Kluyveromyces lactis: one gene and its partner. The protein of the gene in region 2 purifies or fractionates together with the protein of the main gene of each other region. This does not show direct contact. Links are inferred from orthologs where the notes say so. Each region holds a gene or a part of one and is shown on either strand. Other genes may lie near its edges. The genes, in order: KLLA0_E15555g and IMP21.

The links.
Region 1: the proteins of IMP21 (region 2) and KLLA0_E15555g purify together in Saccharomyces cerevisiae (affinity purification with mass spectrometry; 3 studies listed by BioGRID). This does not show direct contact. The link is inferred for Kluyveromyces lactis from reciprocal best matches to the Saccharomyces cerevisiae genes IMP21 and YGR237C.

What each region holds. Positions count from the first base shown.
Region 1 is NC_006041.1:1,385,458-1,396,787, reverse strand, and holds KLLA0_E15555g (uncharacterized protein), read right to left. Parts: upstream 3,723-11,330; coding exon 1,422-3,722; downstream 1-1,421. Other genes in the region: KLLA0_E15577g (uncharacterized protein), read right to left, coding at 207-518; KLLA0_E15533g (uncharacterized protein), read left to right, coding at 4,812-5,264; KLLA0_E15511g (uncharacterized protein), read right to left, coding at 5,445-8,162; TDA11 (Tda11p), read left to right, coding at 8,534-9,862; PEX21 (Pex21p), read right to left, coding at 10,066-10,986.
Region 2 is NC_006037.1:36,631-47,405, reverse strand, and holds IMP21 (Imp21p), read left to right. Parts: upstream 1-9,204; coding exon 9,205-10,272; downstream 10,273-10,775. Other genes in the region: KLLA0_A00528g (uncharacterized protein), read left to right, coding at 1-2,819; KLLA0_A00506g (uncharacterized protein), read right to left, coding at 2,918-3,457; phosphoenolpyruvate carboxykinase PCK1, read left to right, coding at 5,445-7,076; peptidylprolyl isomerase RRD1, read right to left, coding at 7,579-8,640. UniProt on the Saccharomyces cerevisiae protein: Controls the nucleo-mitochondrial dependence of galactose, maltose and raffinose utilization. Becomes essential in the absence of functioning mitochondria.

The DNA of each region.
Region 1 (11,330 bases), on a different chromosome or scaffold from region 2:
TTTACAATTTCCACTGAATTCTAGTCGTGGAATCAAAAATTCATTCATCCATTCATTCATTAGTTACTTATAAAAGTCAGCTAGAAATATTATAAGAATATGCAAAAATAACCAATAACCAATCACACCTGATGGTAATGTTTACCAGAAATTCATTGGTTGAGGTTTCATTAGGTAAGTATAACGAAAAGAACAATTAATATTCTTCACATTATACTAGAAAACATGATAGTGTTAGCTTCTTCTACCAATTTCCTATATTCCTCATCGTTGTAGTACTTATTTCTACCACGAATATGCCAAGCAGCGACGGGAATATCCCGTACGTTTGCGAATAAATCAATATGGTCACCTTCCTCTGACTCATTAGTCTTTTGTCTAGTTAAACCACTTGTTTCTGTCTGATTTGTGTTTTGTGACATAGTCTGAGGCAAGTTCTGAGACATGTCCTTGGACATAGTCTCCTGTTGTTGTTGCTGTTGTTGGTTTGCTCCGAATAGATTTGAAAAGATAGTCATTGCAATATGCTTACAGTTTGATGTTTAGTTGGTGTCAAACTATTGTGTTCGAATATCGAATGTTGCGGGCTGGAAATATACTGGAAAAAGGACAAGAATCAGAGAAGAGCTTGTGCTTATATATAGATATATCTGTATGTGATCTCCAAATATTCCAAATATTCATTGTATAACACTATATAAAATCAGGGGGTGAATCAGGGATACCCCAACAGGGGAATAGATAACAATCCATGTCTTTGATACCAAAATCAAATTTGTGATGGAACAGGAATTACCATTACATTAAACAATCCTTAGCACAGCTTCCAGTACCGGTTGCACTTGTTTCCGTATCCTTCTCTTGCTACCTTCTCCCAGTTTCTGCTACTGGAAACAAAACCGGGTAACACACAACCCTTGTTTATTATATAATCACCAAGGACACCACCCAGACACCTCATATCATGTTTCCCTTTTCCATCCAAACATGGGGATAATCCAGTCACAAAAAGGAGATAGTGACGTGAGATTGAATAAGTAACGTGTGTTTACGTTCAGAGTCCATGCACTCACCAGTGTCCAGAAGGATTTTATCTTAGAGTAATAATCTTTCTTTCTAAATGTTTCCTTTCTTCAAGAAAGGCTATGGGCTGCATTTTTCTGGTCTTACGATTTCTTGATTGGATACGTTCGAATATGGGATGGAGGCCGCGTCTTTTCTATGTTGAAAAATACTGACGATATGTATCTATTTACTCGTGTTATTTTTGGTTGATATTCAATCTTTTTATCCGTCTGCATCTTGCTGCTTGTAGACTTGGTAATTAATAGTAGTAAGGTTCGAATGTTGTCAAGGCAGATGGAGTTAAAAGGCGCAACAGGTGATTAATTTTTTTTTAGTGTTTGTGTTTGTATTTCTGGTTAGGCAGCGTTGCTCTTGACGCCAAACATTTTCCTGAACATGCCACCAAGCTTGGATTTTGATTTTGATTTGGTTTGAGTTTGAGCGCTTGCACTTGAACCATTTGTAGCGGAATGTAATTGGTGTGCTGATGAGATCGATGATTTTCCACTTGTAGCAGTCTTCAGTCCAGAATTGGATTTTCTATTTGTTCCTTTCCCGTTTGTTGTAGAGGTCGGATGTACTTTTGCACTATACGAGTATGATGTAGAAGGCCGTTTTGGGCTGGAGACGGATGGCAGTTTCTCGCTCTTGACTCTTCTAACTATGCTCGAAGAATCGTCATCGCCTCCCAATAATGATTTCACTTTATACATTCCTGGCTCATCGGCAAAATAAACTCTAGATGACCGTCTACTACTCATAGTCGAGTTTCTGGAAGCTACTGGACCAAAACTGTTATTCTTGAACCTAGTTGGCTCTGGTGGAACGTATCCCAATCTTTCTATGTGTTGCTTCCTCCGTTGCGCTTCGGGCGACGTGGGGAAATAGTCTGTAATTCCTTTATCTGCCTCACTGTCTATACTAACCATATCGTCATTTCCATGTTCATAAACGTCTTCAATGCCCCTAGGTGTGTGGTCATTCTTAGAGCTAGTACCCAAAACATCGTTCAGGGATTTGATGATACATCTATCGAGGAATGCAAATTGATCATCTTTTGTGGAAATCGAAACAGTCTTATGCATCGGTTTCTTGGCTTCACCAAGATGATATGGATCGATAAACTCAAAGGGAATTATAACAGTAGGAACCCAAAGATGTCTATAAAGGAAATTGGGCAATTTAACGTTCCCATTCCTGAACTTGATGCTTAAGTTAGTCGAAATTGTGGAAACAACATGGAAATTTGGCCTGTAAAGATCCATAACATGTGTGACAAGCGGTTTTGCGGACAGTTCTTTCACCAATTCTATAGTTATTTTCATAACCTTGTCCTGACATTTCGCTGCATAGTAGTTTAACATATTTTCACATTTATATCTTGTAAGTTGATCCAATTCGTTGATTATCATACCCACTTGGCGGAATGGTAACTGTACAACTGCACTTGGTGTTTTGTTTTTAATTTTACCATCGAACGTGAATTCTTCCAACTTTGTTTTAGTGCTTCCAGTTTCGGAAGATTCATTCTTTTTCAACATGTTAATCAACTCTTCATACATTGGTAGATTGGTTGCAACAACCAAATGGTCACCATCTCTAGCAGCTTCTTTGATGAACCAATCAACAGTTGCCCAAGTATGTCTCCTACCGTTCAAAAAACAAACAACTGTCCTAGTATTCGTATCCGTATAACGCTTCCTGTAGTCTGTATGTTCCTTTGTAATTGAAATGGCCTTATGTGTTATTGATGGGCGTGATGGATAATTTAATGTCATATCAGAGGGTTTTCCACCAGCTCCGGACGACTTGCTACTGGGAGAAGGTTTAACAACGGTGTTTCCGATGTATAGCTTATACTGTTGACTGAAATCAAAACTGTTCAAATCTGTATTGGTTTCCCTCCCACCAGACCGAAGCTGTTTTTCCAACTGAGCTAATTCTTCATCTGTCATATCCATGTAAGACTTCTTCCTTTTCTCTGGTTCCGCTTTTTTCTCCTGTTTCTTTATCAATTTATCCTCTAATTCGTTTAAATTTGCAAATGCCGACGTAGTGTATCCCGATCCGTATTTGTTGCCTGCATTTTCCAGAGTATTTGACGTGGTTACCTTTTCAATTCTTTTCTCCATTTGAGGATCAATTACTGTCAAGTCAATCCCATCAGGTGAATGTTCACGATGCAGATCATCAAGTGAATCCCGCTTCAATATGGACACTGCTGGAGGAGGTGGTAACTTAGCAGATGACGAAGTAGCAGCTCTGGTCAACGAGGTACTCGCACTAGAGACAGAAGACATACCGGTCTTACTTCTACGGAGCCCATTCATAGAACCATACTCTGAATTGTCATTCGATAAAGTGGGTCCTAGCATATTTCTTAGTCCAACGTCTTGTTGAGAAGAACAGAAACCCAGGTCTGTAGATAATTGTGGCCTTTTCATGCTGAAATCGTGCACTCCACTATCGTTCGAAACACTCTCACTCTGAGAACCCTCTCGCACACTTGGATCACTATATAATGGATTGAACTGCGGTGGAACATGAATGAACGGGTTATTGTACGTTATCGGTTTATTGGATTCTTTCAAAGACCGTGCCTGATCGTCTATCAACGACGGCGATAGATCCTGAAAAGACACATGTTTAATATACATCACTTAGATGGAAAGAATTCGGTTTAGCGTGTGATCTTAATATGGGTAGTCCAAAGGTAGGGGTTCTGAAGTCAAAAATTCAATGAATTTGTTTAACAGACACACTGTAATTTTATATTGTAGGATTCCAAAAAACAGGTTTCTGAACTCCGGTGAGCAATTGGCGACCTTATCCAAATGTTTGCTAGATATGAATCTCTTCTTATACTTTCTCTGCACCTTATCCCTAATAAGCTCAGCCTAACTCAGACAAATAGAGAAAATAAATTTACCTTGCATCAAGATATCAAATAGTGCTTTGTACAAGGGATCCAAATTCTAAAATCTTCCGCATGCTTAACACAAGAGAAAAAAACCCACACTCATCATTTCTAGATATTTTTGTATGGTCTGCTTCCATATCCTAGCTTTTCCCTGAGTCGATATTTCTTCAGCCGACTTTAGAAATTGAACACTTGGAAAAAAAAAAAGAAAAAAAAAGGAAGATAGTACATGCCAAAGAACGACCCTAGACCGTACTTTGGACATCAGCTTTCGATAATAAGAATTAACCGAGTTCATTTACAAAAGAAACCCGTGTTTCTCTTCTAAAAACCAGTTCTAAAGCATTTTCACGTTATCTTTGCTAGTAAGTTCTAATCATTGGCTGTTGAGCCAAAGACAATCAAAGTACGTTTACCGCAAGAATGTCACTGCCTTGTCATATTGTTTTACATGTGTATAATTTCGCACTTAATTCAAGGGTTCAACAATGATTACTTCGAAATGAAAAATAATCCCGACAGAAAAACCTCGTAGTGCTTTAATTTCAATAGAATCATCCGAATTGCTGAGAATTGAAAAGCTGTTCATACAACCATTTCCTCTTTTGGGGCTATCACGTGGTTCGGAGTATTTTTTTTGAGGAAGAATTTTATTACCCGGAATTAAGTACCGTCATGGTTTTACCAATAGGAGAAAGCAGGCATGGTTAAGTTCACTGGACAGATTATCAGCGGCTAACACACGTTTAAGCCGAAATAAATTTCCAAAACGTTCATAATTGAATGAACTATCAGTAATCATAATTGTCGTGTGATAAAGGGCCTCATGGATGATATCGTAACGGTAACTGAATTTTGTGAGAGATTTAGGATTCCATCAAGCCTACGCGAATTTTATGGCTGGAACACAGATGTCATACGTCTGGACAAGGCAAACTTTAATGAAAAAGAAGCAGATATTTTAGCTTGTGAGAAGAAGCGACCCGCATCATCCTTGTTGCCTTCTTATTCGAAGAAACCAGCTGTAAAAGAGCACAGAATACCATATTGGAATTTGCCGCCGAAGTTTTCCGTACCAGCTAGTCGGGCCTCAATCATTTCAGCTCAAACAGAAATATCAAGAGGATCAATATTAGAGACGGATGATGCAGTGCCACCAGTATCTCAGTGCTCCATTCTTCAGAGTGAGACTCTGCAGACTTCCATTTTGGATAGCGAAATTCATATGACAACTCAAAGTAGTCCGCCACCTGTCATTTTATCCAGTTCCCACGATTGACAAAAACATGCATTGACATTTCATAATTTCGACTGATGTACAGTATAGCAGATAAAACATATATATCACGGAGTATCAGTGAATAGTTGTTTGTAATGAATATAAAACAAATTAAAATAGTTGAAAATATATATATCTAAACAATACATTCTATTTTACACGGTTGATATTATTAAGAGTCTATAGTGTTGCTTCAGAATGAAGTAGTTTCTTTTTGAGAGTCATGACATCGTCTTTTAGCGAATCACGTTCCTGTTTGATAATGAATAATTCTGCGCGAAGGTCGTTTATCTTTAATTGATAATGAGCATCATTCAAAGAACCGGACGAATCATCTGCTTCCTGGTTAATCGTATTCTCTAAATCCGATTTAAGTCTTGAATTTTCTTGTCTTAGTTTGATAATTTCATTCTGCAGCTTTTCCATCGCATTCCCAGAATTGTGAACAGAGTCAATAACTGACCTGTACTCTCTTTCCATCTTGGTCAGTTCTTCATGTTTTGAGGCATGCTCATCCTTCAATTTGGAGTATTCTGTGAACAACTGGTCCCTGGATGTAGTCAGTTCTTTATTTTGAAGAATTACTTCGCTTAACTTGCGATCAAGACCGGTCATTGTTTCTTTATGCCTGGTTACAACTGTTTCGTGAGCTTTTTGTTTCTGTCTCATGCCATCGAGCAAAGTGTCCAACGATTCACTACATTTTTTTATGTTTTCATTGATGAACTGTTTCTTCGAATCGAGTTCTTTCGTGAGAGACTCATATTTCTCAGATAATACGATATACTTTGATTCCAAATCCACATATTTCTCCTTATTATCGACTTCTGATTGTAGCTTGGCAATTACTTCTGTTTGGTGCTTAATCATGTCATTCAAGTGACTTAATTGGTTCAATTGCTTTAATTCTGTATTTTCTAGTTCCAATTCCATTATTCTGCTGTTTGCACTAGTAGCACTGGTCACAGTATCCTCCTTCAATTGCTTCAACTCTTCAAGTAATTCTTTCAGAATGTTGTTTTCATTCTTTTCAGAAACAATACGAGCAGGTTCACTTAAAGTGACAGGGCTTTTATCAGCGTCAGTTATTACATCTATGGATTTATCGAAGTGCGTCGTATCTGACAAGGAGTTAGGTTTAGGCGAAGGCTCAGCACCTGTGTTATGCATGATAGATGGTGAATAATTTTCATAGTCCGATGAGGATCTCAAGTTGGTTCCAACAGCGTATTTTTTTACATCACCTTTTGTCGGCGAAGTTCTATACTGAACAACTTCTACAGACCCAACATCAGGATCAGTGTCACTTTGCGTCTCTGAACTTAACTGAGACTGCAAGGACAATACTCTTGGAGGATCTGTATTGGCATCTTGTTGTGGAACTGGTGATTTTGGTTTAGGAGCAGTAGGTCCGAGGACGCCGGACTCAGAGCGTTTTCTAACTGCAGGAGTTGTGTTCACCGTTTCTGGTACATCTGGTGATAGAATTGAAGCTTGTTTGTTTTTCAATTCATCAAATCTTCCATTGGATTTCGATAATGGCGTACTAAATTTGTCCAGGTGATCAACATCATCGATCTTAAAGATGTCAGGACAAAACTCATTCAAGTTTGTTAGGTCCAAAGTGTAAATAATGGTACCGGCTCCCATGTCGACATCAGAAGTGCGTACATCGGTGCTGTTACCAACAGCATAATCAAACTTGTCACCACCCATGATTAGCAGTTTATTATTTGATAACAGAGTGAGAGAGTGTCCGGATCTTGCTCTTGGAATCATATTATTAAAAGTTGGTAGTTTGAACCATTTTAGACTCCTGAAGTTTAAGAAATACACGGCGTTTGAATAATTGTCCTGCGCATCCTTCCCACCAAAAACACACATTAAATCGCGGTATATGATAGCAGCATGCTCTTGTAATGGCGGTGGGATGTTTCCTGTAGTCTGCACTACACACCAATCATTGGCAGCTGGATCAAACATAAAGACTTCGTTAGTTAAACCTTGAGGAGTATCACCACCAAATACCCACAACTTATGATCAAACGAGATCATCGTGTGGTTAGCCAAGGGTGGTGGCATGAAAGTTGCCGGTTTAATAAATTCCCAGTGAGAATCAGATCTCCGGAAAGATGAGAGGTCAAACTCTGCTAAATCATTAAAATAGGTATCATCAAACTGACCACCAAACACATAAAGTTTGGTTTTCATTTGGTTCGCAGCAATTATACTGATTTTGTGACCGTATCTACCAAGTGGTCTAGGTCCTTGAGGTGTTGGTATGGTCCATTTGTGAGAGTTGATATTGAACAAATATATGTCATCGTCCATCAAACCGGCATCATTCACTTTATGAGTGTCACCACCAAAAATCACGAATGCGTTCCCACACAGTGTGGAGGCATGACCGACTCTAGGAGGTGGAGTAGCATCTGCAATGGGAACTGTAATAGACTTGAAACTTGTAGCGTTGTCCAGTGACTTGATTATCCATGTATCTCCATAAACCGATTGGTCGTGCAAACCTCCGATTACAAACAATTCTCCACTGTCAGTAGCATATGAGCTGGCAACATGCCTATATCTGGGGAAAGGGGACTGCTTTAGTCTAATTCTATTCCATGGCGTGAACACCTGCTGCTGTAGGGTACTCTGAGTGGACGTAGATCGTTGCTCAACAGGACTGACCATAACGCGTTGTTGAGCCGCAAGTAACCCAGAATCTGCAGCTGGTTTTGGATAGTTCTGTTTGGTAGGTGTAGAACTAGATCCAGGAGATCTCAATTCTTGTTGAAAGCTAGTGTTACCAATAGTGCTGTTAGAATTAGGTGTTGTATTTGGAGATGCAGAAGCATCTTTCCGATTCTTCTGTTTCTTTCCAAATTTGAATGGAGCCATTCTTGTGTTTGTAACCGTCTAAATACGCAATACCAGTTCCTTAGCAAGTGATAAATCAGATATGTGATATGCAAAGTATTTGATTCCACTAACTGGTGTAATAAAGCCACTGCTGGGAACCTCAAGCTGTTACGCACTGCAAAAAGTTGCAGCCGTCTGAACTATTTCTGGTAACTTCAAGTTTACACTGTTTCATTTTCATAACAACACGAAATTCTGTGAAAGACTGAAATTATCATTTCAATCAGTAACTTTGGGGCTTGATTTTAGTGTACAAGTTAAGGATAAGGGTAAAAAGGCTGATCTGACCGTAGTAAGAAGCTAGGCTTGAATCAAATTAGATCTTTATGTGTACGGTTTGGGTATAAACAATGGATAGAGACGTATTGGAGAAATTTATAGACCTTCAAGACAAAGAGAACGATATTGATACTAAGAGTAAAATATATCATGAAGTTACGGACAGAGGGAGCGTTACCCCTACATTTAACCAAGGATCCAGCGGTATGAGTCCCAAGTCTGTGGGGAGTTCCGGTAGAAACAAGAACATCCAGTTGCAATTAACGCCTACCAAGGCTGATCCTACTAGCACACTTGACTCGCATCCGTTGAAAGGTGATAATTCAGATCAAGACGATATCACTGGCAATATGAAGGAGAACGAGGACGATGTATCATTGGGGTCCGGTAAAGTCACCGTAAAGAACAATGGTAACGGGGTTTCTGCTGCTACAAATGGCAAGGGAGGCAATCAGGAGCTAGGAATACGAAGAAGCAACACATGGAAAAGAAAGTCTTTAATAATGCCATTAATGTCTCCAGAGCACACAGTTAAGCAGCAGCAACGTCAATCATATCAGCAGCATTGCAAACCATCAGAGTCTGTATCGAATACCCCGCTGGGACGGAAATATCGATCAAAACTTGACCGAAATGACGGACAAAAATCTGTGCGGTCCAGCATAAGTAGCATTGGATCACTTCTCCCGGATGGAGCCACCACAGAATTTAGCGCAAGTCCAGCTACTAAATTGAAGTTGCCTACAACTACGACCGACACCGCCAAAGTAGTGCCATCTGTTTCTGAAGATGATAATGATATGGAATCTTTGTTGCAATCACTGGCGAACAAGGAACTAGAGATATTGGAAAGGACAAGGCGAGTTCACGATCTTTTCAGGCAAATTAAGATTGAAGATAAGATAATAAAACAGAATGCAGAAGAACTTCAGCAGTTGAAGAAAAAAGTTAGCCGTTTAGTGGGGAATCAAGTTCAAGGTCAGAACTCTAATACGACATTACCTGCAGAATCCCATGGGGAAAGTAACAACGCAGAAACCGCTGATAACAAATCAAGCTCGTTATGGACAAAATCCGTTTCATTACTCAACCAATTTGACCAAATTATTCAGGGGACCGTTGAAACGAAGTTAGGATTAGGCGACTCGGGATCCAGTGCAACTGAAAATCAATCAGAGGGCAAGCCAAAAGGTGACGACAATGCGGGAAGTGCGATTTGGTCCTTAGTAAATGAGTTTAAAAACGGGCTTGGGTTACTAGCAACAGAGGAAGAAGATGCTGATGGGTCTATAGGCACGATAGCGACTGGTCTTGCTACCAATATGGAAGATTACGGCACAAGAAAGGCAGAATCATCAACTCAAGCAAAAGAGATTGAAATGTATCATTATAGTCATTAAATAAGATTATTTTTGGAACTAAGCTTTAGCTAAGTTAATCTAATATTGGGAAGTAAGTAGAATATGGTGATCCTGCCAGGTGATTTTCCACGTGAGTGTAGAGTAACTCTAACTCAATATGTATCGACAAAATAACAGTAGATCTGACAACAGAGAAATACCCCTCCACTCATACTTAGTAATACCATTTTATTTTTTTTTTTTCAAACGGAGTTATGGTACACTTTTGCAGCGGCTTCCGATGAACTCATATTAGATAAGTCACCAATGGAGTCCAAGGGGTCGCCTAAAACACTATCCTGCACTGGGAAATACTCTTCGCCAAAAGTTTCACCGGTAGAAGGAGAATATAATTCCGTATATTTATCCTCATCTGGGTTCTTTTTCAGAGTTATTACACCATCGCTGATATTTCTCATGAGTCCAAGGAACTTGGAGTTCGAAAATTTCGAACTAGTTGTAGATGATTTATCTGAAAGAGTTGTGTAAATGGATTGGGCTGCTTCTTTTAATTGGCGTTGATCTTCGTCTAGAGGAGACGTTTCTTTGAGATGGAAATCGTCATCCTTGTCCTGTTGCTGTTCTTTTTCATCGTCTTGCACTTGTCTTTCCAGTTCAGCAAATTGTTCATCGAGCTTCGCGCTACTACTGGCATACGCTTGTGACTCGAGTTGGTTCACCATCAGAGATTGCTGATGACGCGGGAACATTTGTGAATGGGACACCATCACCGGTGCACCCATGGAGTACGAGGCGCCACGCGCCTCGTACTGCGAATACATCTGTTTATAATCTGTTGGGAACTCGGTCTTGTCGTGCACCTGCATGTTTGCGAACTGATCGATCCAAACATGGTGATCAGAGGCTGTAGCAGTATTACTAGTAGTACTGGCTGCAGTAGTAGCGTTAGCAACAACAGCTGCCATAGGCAGCTGTTGATGCTGTGGATGAGCGAAACTGGGACCCGAGGCACCAGTAAACTGAGAGAACTGGTGGTCTAGTGCATTATTTCTTGGTCTGCTCTGCTGCTGTGCGATGCTCTGTTGGTGCTGATTCGGCTGTCCGAACCTATAACCAGACTTCGAAACAAGAGTGTTCAAAGGATTCGTTTGACACACTGACATGGTATTATATTTCTTGGTTGGTGGTAGTCTCCTCGAGCAACAGACATAAGACAACTAGTCCGCAAATCATCGAAACAAGCAATGTACAAACTTTATTTATATACATATATATATATATATATAATAAATGCAGAACCTGGACGAAAGAAAGAAATTATGAATAAAGAAATGAAACAAGTTCAGACCACTAACGGTTGAAAGATGTGGAATGGAAGTGAATAAAAAAAAAAAAAGTGAAAGAGCGACAGATGCGCAAACCCCCCGGGTAACAGTGAGGCTTTCTATGGACTTCTGAAGACCAGTACTGGCACTTCTAGCCGATTGAGGAAGCTATTAGATGAGGG
Region 2 (10,775 bases):
TCTATAAGAGCATCGTTAAACAAGAAACAGAGTTACAAGAACGATGTTCCAATTTGACCACTCAGCAAACTACTGATCTGAAAAATCTATGGTTAGCCTATAAAATCAACGCAGAGTTAATTGACAACTACATTCTTTTCATAACTACAGCCTTGTTACCGTCTCAATCAGAATCAAGTCTCGCAATCGGGCAAGAGATTGTAGATGTTTATAGAATAGAGAGAAGGCTATGGGTTTATGGTACAATTACATTTTTGGATGTTTTGAAGAATTTTTCAAATTTCATGGATCCCGAGGTTTGCTGTCAATTCATCGCATACGTATTTATTGCATTATCAAATATGTTGGAGGATTTACCCCCAAAGTACTCCATCCCCTGGCTAGAAAGGCTTGGTGATTTATCCAGAATGGCAATCGCTCTATATCCTTCCGGATTCGTTGATTGGAAACTTAGTGCTGAGCATTGGTACAGAGAAAGCCTGAAATTCACTTTTGGCCATGGGAAGCTATATTATCATATGTCAACAGTTCAACAAAACACTTTGGAAGCATTTGTCAATTTGGGAAAATCTGTTTTCTGTGAAGACATTTTTGTTCCTTCCCCGCAGTATATGCAATTAGTCATAGATAACATCTACCAAAGAGCTTTTGCTGAACGTGACAGCAGTGGAAACAGGACAAATCACATTGTTGACTACTTAAAGCACACAGAAGTGATGTTACTTCCAAGCTTTCTGGAATCATCAGAATTACAAAATGTCGTCATACATTACTTTCAACACAAATTTGGTGTCTCCTCTTCTGGGAACTTCTTTGATCCAAATTTGATTTTCATTCAGGATGCAGAAAGATTAAAACATTTCTTTAGACATTCCTCACTATTTTCTCAATCGCACATTCTACAACTATGTGGGTTTGGTGACCCGAAGAACCCATTCGCAATGCTATTCGAGCTCTCAAAACACCTAAAATCTCGTAAAGAACGTAAAGAACGAAAAAAATCAACCAAGAGCACTTCGGAAGGTTCTTTAGATCCAGTAGAGTTTTCTTCGCAGCAACAAGCTTCGACAGAAGACTTTTTCAGCACAATTGACTCTCCAAAAGTTCCGTACGAGTTTCCACTAGATTTAGGTGTCTGGAAGCGGTCTCTTCATTACATCAATGTAACCTCAATGAAGTGTGGCATGATTGTTTTGAGACGGTTTTTATATGGTCCCATTGTCACTGCTCTTCCCCATGTTCTACCTTGGTTACTTTTCATAATTTCTATTCAAATAAGACTTGATCAGGTCAATGATTTGACATTAAAGAAATTTTGGATTGTGTTCATTAGGAGAATATTTCCTTGGGATTCTCTGATTACATTTATGAATACACTAATTCATTACTGCATGGTTACGGGTACCAAAAATTTTGATATTGATGCACATATGTCGACTTACTTGCCAATGAACAGAGAGGAGTTATTAACAAGCATTTGTGAAAATGAAAATCTACCAGAATGCTGGAGCTGTTGGGGTTCTTTATGGTTCAACACCATCAGTAAAAAATCTGACCTCGATGTCACCACCTTAGAAAGTACAGGTCTATCAGATACTCTGTTTTTGGATTCCCCAACTGAAGGTATTTGTTTCGATGATGATGACGAATTTGGACGTAAATATTGGCAAAGAATATGCCGAACTCTGTTACTATTCAACATCATTACTGAGTGGGAAGCTTGTGATGGATATGGTCATGGTTGTAAAAAGTTGAATCCAGAAGCAACAAGCTGGAAGAATTTAGTGTTTAGATTTAATGATGACACTAACGATCAATTATCAGTAGAACTCTATCCAGAAGAGAATGAGAGTTTCCCATTTGAAAAATTTGAAATTATATCCAATTTAAACTGCAGTGACAACTTACAGGACGGCTCCAAATCGATGATTCCTGGTGTATCTATCGAGAATTTGCAAGGATTCAAATTAATGTATCCGGACTACTTCTGTTTCAATAAAAATGGTGATTTGATAACAGCTTCCTTATATACCAAAGGCCCATTAGAAACTGCGAATATTCAAGGTGGTGATGACTTTAATGCAAACAAAATTCTAGATAACGGCAGGCTCGTAGTGCAAGATAGGTTGGAATATTCATCTGCCATCGATAAACTCGAGCAACCATGGTTGGAGGCCTTCATGAACCCGGATTTTAGACAGAGAGAATTACTCAATAGAAGTTTTTTGGGGAATTTGAATTGTCAAGCTGACACCAATGTGACATTCTTTGTGCTAGATGCAACCACTTGGTTGAGGCATTTTGCTCATATTTACAAGCTGGCCACAAGTAGTGTTTTGAAATTTGCCATATGTTTGACTACCTTCCAAGAATTGAGATTTCTCCGTAAATCAAAAGATGAAAGTGTGCTCGAAGCTGCAACTAGAGCAGTGATTGCTGTTAGGCAGCTATATTACGAGCGTAAACTACTTGCCCTAAGATTTACGGGTAATGTAGCAGGGCATCTTGAAGAGCACTTGGAGATCGAAGAGCAGATGACGTGGAAATCCCATGTTGACGAGTTTGTCATTGATGCCATAGCCAAAGCACAAGATAAGTTTAATGTTTTAAACAATGATGCAATAGAAAAAGGTAAGGACTGCATACCTCTATCTGAAGATGGACAAAGTACTCAGAGATTTAATTTTGTCAGTCTAGTTACCGATGACTTTAATATGAGAAATAAGGCTCAGCAGTTAGGGATACGCACTTTCAGCACAAGATTTGTATTCGCAATATGTAGAGAACTTGGGCGAGAAACTGGTGTATGTACTAATTAAACTAGTTTTAAGTAAAGCAACAACCTATCGACATTTCCTTTTGGTGGTATCGTCTTCTGCTAAAAAAGTGTGACTTTTCGAATAGCTTTTACATATTTTTACCCTAATTTCCAGTTTAAACACCAAAACACGCCTCGATATAATGAAAAAAAAGAAACATCATGGCAGAGCACATGATGCACATTCGACGAACAGAGCCCCTGCAATATGACAGTGCTGAATTTTGGATGATCGGTCTTTAACAAGGTTAGTTTGTCATTAAGCTTGTGATGCTGTCGTACTACCAACCTAAGCCAATCGGCATCTGAGTGATGTTCTTTCATTAGCCTTATCTTTGTGGAAGAATCAAAAACAATTGCTTGAACTGTTCTAGGTGAATGTGAGATATCGTTCGAGAAATCTGCTTTAGGGATAATGCTAGCAGCCATTGGAGCAGTATATGTTTTCTGCCTTTTAGAGGCTCTAGCCCGGACGACAGATTTTGAAGTTTGAATTAATTTGTTAATAGATCCTTTACCGCCGATATTGGATGCGTTGCATTTCTTGTGTGCATAGAGCAATTTTCTCTTTTTGCCAAACCATGCGTCCACCAACTCAGACACCTCTCCTATTTTCGTCCTTCCTTTGGTATCTGTCATTGTGAGTGAAATCTTTGGTGGGTGTCAGAAAATATGTCGGTGATGTCTGAAACTTCATGCCTATGATGCGTGACTTTACCCTTTTGTTTAGACTCTATTTTTTGTCCTTGTTTTTTCTTTCCTTTACTTTTCATTTTCGACAATTGGGAACCTCAGGAAAAATAAGGATCCAATGGTTTGATAATCGGTACGGCAAAGGGTGGGGCAATTTTTTATATAATCAATCATGATCACGTGATCATACTTAGGGTCCAAAACTAACTGAAGATCCTAATATTCGGTTTTGGTTTTTGTATTTTGGTGAGGTAATCGAGAACGATTGCCAAACCACAAGCTAATACGCGTCCTAAGCCATTTAATGTGTCAACCGAAAAAGTACCCGCCAATGCCGGAGCAGAGAGAATTCACAGAGCGCTGTTAGTTTCTACGGCCGCGAAGTACTGGGTGAAGAAATAAATCTGGGGTATACAAAAAAAGAAAATTAAAAAATTGGGTTGCCGGTATGATCCGATCGCCTGAGCATTGTCTATTACGGAATATAGTAAAACTGGACAGATAGAGGGACAAGCAGGTAATGTACCAAGAGAAGACTCTCGGACATGCTCATCTCAACCCCGGGAAGGGAAAGGTTACAACCGATAAAATTACCTAAGTACGTATGGATGGTATTAACAAGCTTCTTTGTCCCTCTTCCAGAAATGTCCTTTTATTTGAGTTTGTAGATGAGCCCGGGCTTCGGAGTCCAATGACACTGAAACGCTCGAAGAAACCACTTAATCTTGATTATATAATCATTATACGCCACCAACTCCGTTCCATTCTCTTTCCCCGGTCCACCATATACGGCTGTACACTAGCATGTCGATTCCCCACGCGATCGACCGGGGAACCCGAAATCAATGAAGAACGTAGAAAGTAAAATGAAAATCGAAAAAAATAAAGCTACGAAGGTTTGCAGGAAGTGAGCAGATGCCCGGGAATATCACCCGTACATCACATTTCAATATCAACCCGGGAAGTAAATTTTGTTTTTTTCCAGTATCCTCTTGCCCCACACGCTATCTACCCAGAGGCATCCCGGGAGCGGAGCGGTACAACAAATTGCCAAAATTTGTCCCCCTTCTCCTACTTACATCCTGTGAACCAAAAGAACAACAGGGGGGAAAGGAAAAATTTTCGAGTGCCAGACATGAACTTGGCTGGCAAGGTTTTTCCTTTCACACCACACTCAATGTTGAAACGTACATCTTTCGGAACTATTTTTCGAGCAATTGGGCGTTATTCCCAACAATCCAAGTACTGGTCTGTACATCCCGGTCTTATTGAATACAAAAAAATTTAGAGAAAGTGCCGTATAGACTGAAAAGTCCCCAATTTTTTTTGTTCTTGCCTTGTGTGTTAATTAGTTTTAATCAAATTCCACGCTGGGACAAACAACGGAACGGACAAACGAAAAACATAAAACATAGACATTCAGGACATTTCAGGACATTTTATTTTGAAACGAACAGACACATAGATAGATATCAAAGAAAACGTAGTTATATCGATACCGAACCAAGGGAGAAAGGGACTCTTGTTTACTGAAATCGCCTAGAATGAGTCAGATAACTCGCTGGAACATCAATTATCCATCTAGTAATTAAGTGCAATTATTTATTCTCGTCCTGTCATATCGTGAATTGATTAATATTCATCTTTTATGATCATATATAAGGGCGATGGTTTTTCATGATTTAGTTTGATGGATACATTTCAAGTGTTGATAAGGTACAATAGTAGCTATATATTATCTCAGTTGTATTGCAATAAAAGTAAACCCAAAATTCAGTGATTCTACACATTGAAAGCACTTTAATAGTAAAGCCAAAATTCATACTATACGATAAATTGACTCTTCTCCATTTAAGAATACTCAATTAACCGTGTTATCGACTTTTCCTCTAGCGCGACTAAAAAGAAAGAAAATAAAACCTATTATCAAATAATGTCACCAACTAAGACACAAAATTCTGCTGAAGAGAATATTAGGGCTGAGCTTGGCCTTTCTGCAGAAGTCGTCACCATCAGACGTAATGCTCCAGCTGCTTTGTTATATGAAGATGCTTTAAAAGAAAGAGACACAGCCATTTCCAATGCTGGTGCCTTGATTGCCTACTCTGGTGATAAGACCGGAAGATCTCCACGTGATAAGCGTATCGTTGAAGAAGAAACTTCAAAGGATAACGTTTGGTGGGGTCCAGTAAATAAGCCATGTTCCGAAAGAACTTGGGAAATTAACAGAGAAAGAGCTGCTGATTACTTGAGAACTAGGGATCACATTTACATTGTTGATGCTTATGCTGGCTGGGATCCTCGTTACAGAATCAAGGTCAGAGTGGTTTGTGCTAGAGCTTACCATGCCTTATTCATGACGAACATGTTGATCAGACCATCAAAGGAAGAACTAGAAAATTTCGGTGAACCTGACTTCACCGTCTGGAATGCTGGTCAATTCCCTGCTAACACACATACCTCCGGTATGACTTCTAAGACTACTGTGGAAATTAACTTCAAGCAAATGGAAATGGTCATCTTGGGTACCGAATACGCTGGTGAAATGAAGAAGGGTATTTTCACTGTGATGTTCTACTTGATGCCTGTAAATCACAATGTCCTCACCTTACATTCTAGTGCCAACCAAGGTATTCAAGATAATGACGTTACTTTGTTCTTCGGTTTGAGTGGTACTGGTAAGACTACCTTGTCCGCTGATCCTCATAGACTGTTGATCGGTGACGATGAACACTGTTGGTCCGATCATGGTGTTTTCAACATTGAAGGTGGCTGTTACGCTAAGTGTTTGGGATTGTCTGCCGAGAAGGAACCAGAAATTTTCAACGCTATCAAGTTCGGTTCTGTTTTGGAAAACATCATTTACGATCCTAACACTAGAGAAGTTGATTACGAAGATTCTACAATCACAGAAAACACTAGATGCGCTTACCCAATCGAATACATCCCAAGTGCTAAAATCCCATGTCTAGCTGATCACCATCCAAAGAACATTGTCCTGTTGACTTGTGACGCTTCAGGTGTTTTGCCTCCAGTATCCAAGTTGACCCCTGACCAAGTTATGTACCACTTCATCTCTGGTTACACTTCCAAGATGGCTGGTACTGAACAAGGTGTCACTGAACCAGAAGCAACTTTCTCCTCTTGTTTCGGTCAACCATTCTTGTCTCTACATCCAATGAAATATGCTACAATGTTGGCTGAAAAGATGGCCGAACATAACGCTAACGCTTGGTTAATCAACACTGGTTGGACTGGTTCCTCTTACGTTGCTGGTGGTAAGCGTTGTCCTTTGAAGTACACCAGAGCTATCCTAGATGCCATCCACGATGGCTCTTTGGCTAAGGAAGAGTATGAAGTTTTGCCAATCTTCAACTTGCAAATTCCAAAGGCTGTGGGTGACAAGGTTCCAGCTTCTCTACTAAATCCAAGTAAGAACTGGGCTGAAGGTGAAGCTAAGTACACTTCAAATGTCAAGTCATTGGCTAATTTGTTTGTAGAAAACTTCAAGACCTACCAAGATAAGGCTACCGAACAAGTCTTAGCTGCTGGTCCGCAATTATAATCACAATGTCCTCAACAGAAGTGCTATACCAAAATAACGAAAAGAGGCAGAGTGAAATATTATTGAGTAATATTTTCTCTTCAACATAGTTTCACTTTTTCCGTTACCTTCAACCAGACTATCTCAACCGTAGCCGGTTCATTATTATTAATATAAAATTCTGAGATTCATAAAAAACCAACTAACAATAATACACATACCATTGGCTCGGATTATTTGATTCTTGCATTTAGAAACTATCTTTTTCTCGACTACATATATAACAAGAAAATTCTACAGATATCTTGGGGTTTTTCTCATTCGTTTTTCTATTACTTTCGTCCTTTTTAATTTATCACTAACAGCCTTTATCAATATGGTTATAGTACATACATACGCTTTAGTATCTTTTAATCTGGATATACTATTTATTTATGGGAGGAATTAAATCATTAATATCATCCTTAAGCGAAGAATAAAAGCAGGTTAAATAGATCTTTAATCTCATCCCATATATGCTGTGTTAACGTCTGTGTATAAACCTAGATGTGCTTGTACTCAAAGGTGGAGGCATTTTCGTAGTAGCATTGTTTGCAGTCAAAAAATCAGCATCGTCGTTATTTTCTGCAGGCTGATATATTGGCAAAGAGTGATTGTTACCATAACTCGTCCATGGGAAAAATGCGGTTCCGAACCAAAAGTGCTGCACGACTGGAAACTTATTTAAAACTTCTACCTTGTACATTTTAATCAAACCCTGTTGCATCTTGTGCCATGTATGAACACTCCTTGATATGTTGTAGAGTAGAGGAGAATGATTGGAAAATGGGCCCGATTTTACGACATTAATGAATCGTATTGATTTGCAAAATAGATTGCTAGAGCTGTTTTGTTCCATCAATCTAGTATTAGAAATATCCTTTGGTATTAAAGAAGTATTCACATCTAACAATTGAGTGGCTCCTAAAATGTATGAGAAATGAAAATGATCATCTAGCCCCCAAACGCCATGAGACCCAGCAGGTTCCAATTTATAGGTTAAGATTAGTTTCTGAATCACGTCGTAATATGAATTGAAACAATAAAGTAGCGCCGGCCCCTTTATTGTTTCAATTTTTAGCATATCCAAACAAATTATCACAGCTAAAAAGGACAATTCATGACCAGTTCCATAGTCAATTCTTTCCTTCGATCCAAATGCATTAGATATGTAATATGAAAGTTCTATGATGCTGTTGTTGTACTTTTCGGGCAATAACTCATGCAACCAATTCTCCAATTGGTTTTGAAACTTCGTTTGCCAATCTCTGTATGAAAGGTTTCCATATCTACTATGCATTCTCTCAGGAGGTGTCTCGTCTATCAAGGCAGACAGCCTTTTGAGTAGTTCCACTACGATATTAGTGAAAAAACTTTCTTTGATTGTATCTGGTATCTGCTGGCCCTTACAAAGCGTAATATACTTCTGCAAGTGATATTGTATTCTAACCATTGCGACTGAATTCTGGAAGTCAAGGGTACCCTGACTATCGAATATTCTTTTCTCTGGCATTGAGAACTTGGCGTTCTCATAATCAAAGTCCATCTCTTAGTTTCTTATCCCTTATTTATCACCGTTATATCATAACAACTCTCGATTTAATATTTGCAGCTTGAAATATGTGCGGGAGAATAATTAGAATGCAATATTTGATACGTCCTACAAGGAAGGTATTAGTTTTCAAGATCGCCTCCCCAAAAGTTACAAGAGAAACTGCTATTTCATATCCTTTCTTAGCATTTCAGTCTGTAGAATTCTAACTTTTTTTAAGCGTTCGCAGTACAGGCACTGAAATTGTGAAGTGATATGAAAACATATGATAAAAATAAAAAGCCAAAATAACCTTGAAAAACGATTATACTGCTATGTTTTCACACCAGAGAAAAGATTCCTAATACAAGTCACCAGTCACACATTTACTTTCTTTATCCGCGACACTAGCTTGTACCTGTGAAATAATTTTAACTTTTTGTATCACAGCTAATACTATTCTACTGAATTCACAGGACGAATATTTAATCCAACATCATTGAAATAACTATCAACTTAGCTTCAATCTCCGGTCGCAGACAAAGTATACTACAAGTGAGCCATTGAACATATTTAGACATGGAAGAACCTGGAAGAGGTATTTTGAATAAGAAACTAACTGATGATAAGCATCTGGCTGCGCCTCCAGCGTTTCCAACTATAAAGATAGAGGAACCAGAGCAAAGAGGTAGGTCCCGGAGTAAGACAAGAGATACCGGCATATCATCAAGCAGATCGATATCAAGGTCTGCGAGTCGAGTAAGTATAAAGGACCAAGCCTACCTGAAGTGGACAATATTGAATAAGGACCCTTCAGAAAGGTTACATTTGAAGGCCAAAAAAGGAAACACTAGAGATAGCGTATCTCCAGGACAAGAAAATGGTGGTGACGAGGATGAAGATGAAGATGAAGAGGAATTCATAGAAGATAGAGAAGACGATGGTGAGGTCAGTGAGGAGGAACAAGTGAGTGATGTAGAGAATGAAATAGAAATTGATGAACACATTGATTATGATTTAGGTTGTAAAGTTTTACCGAACTTTGTTACACCAATTACCCAAGTACTCGACTCTATGAAGCCATGGCTAGCGAAGAATGCTGAGATTAAAACAGAAGCAGACAAAAGAGATATCAAATTGGAAGAAATTCAACACGGAATACATAGAGCTGTCTATCATATGAGCAAAGGAGACAATATTACCGCCGCAACGAGCGAGAAAGGCCACTCGTTCGTTGTTTACTTGGATCAAATGGATGAATCTTTTGCTGAGAAAATATACGCCTTAGTTTACTCTTTCGGTTCTGTTTTCACTAATGGGGACACTTTGTACATCATAAACCAATGTGACGACGATACCAACGATATGCTATTTCAAATGAATCGAATTTGCGATCACATAGATTATTTATTCGAATGCACCAATGGAGTTGGAACCTTGGACAAAATTGACGTCCTAATATGTTCAATGTACCATCCATATCCGAAACAATTACTCACTGAGATGGCACATTCCTTGCAGCCATCGTCGATTATTATTCCGTTGCAAACGGTGTTGGCATCATTACAAAATTTCATAACTTCAGTACCGATGCTTGTGATTCGGAAGAAATTGAAGAGATCAAAGCGTAGAGGGATAGCTGACTGATATGCACTACTTCAACAAGCATATAGCCGTTACTATACACACATATATAAACGTAAACTAAAACTTAATACACGTGATCAGTAAAAACGCCATTGTCAATATGAAACGAAATAACAAATGCTACTGCTGCTGAACGAAAAAATTAAGGCAAACATACAGGGTAATTAGGACGAAATTCGTTCATCTATTGACTGAAGAGAAGGAGCAGCAACATAACCAAAATTTGTGGGGAAAGCCAATAGCAGGATCCGAAGATTGTGAAAACACTAATTTAAAAAAAAAGGCATGGAGATGGAGACGAGACATTTACTTGTCCAATTTTCACCAAGTGTGTATCTCGGGAGATATCGGATGACATGCAGCAAGCTCGGATTAGCGCGCAAGAGTGAGTTATTGGCCGGGTAATGTCATATACCGTAGTCTTTCCTTTCATCAAGAATTTAAAGTTTGGTACCCCTCATTCACTTCAGCGTACTGAGAGATTTTCCTACTGTTTGTTTGCA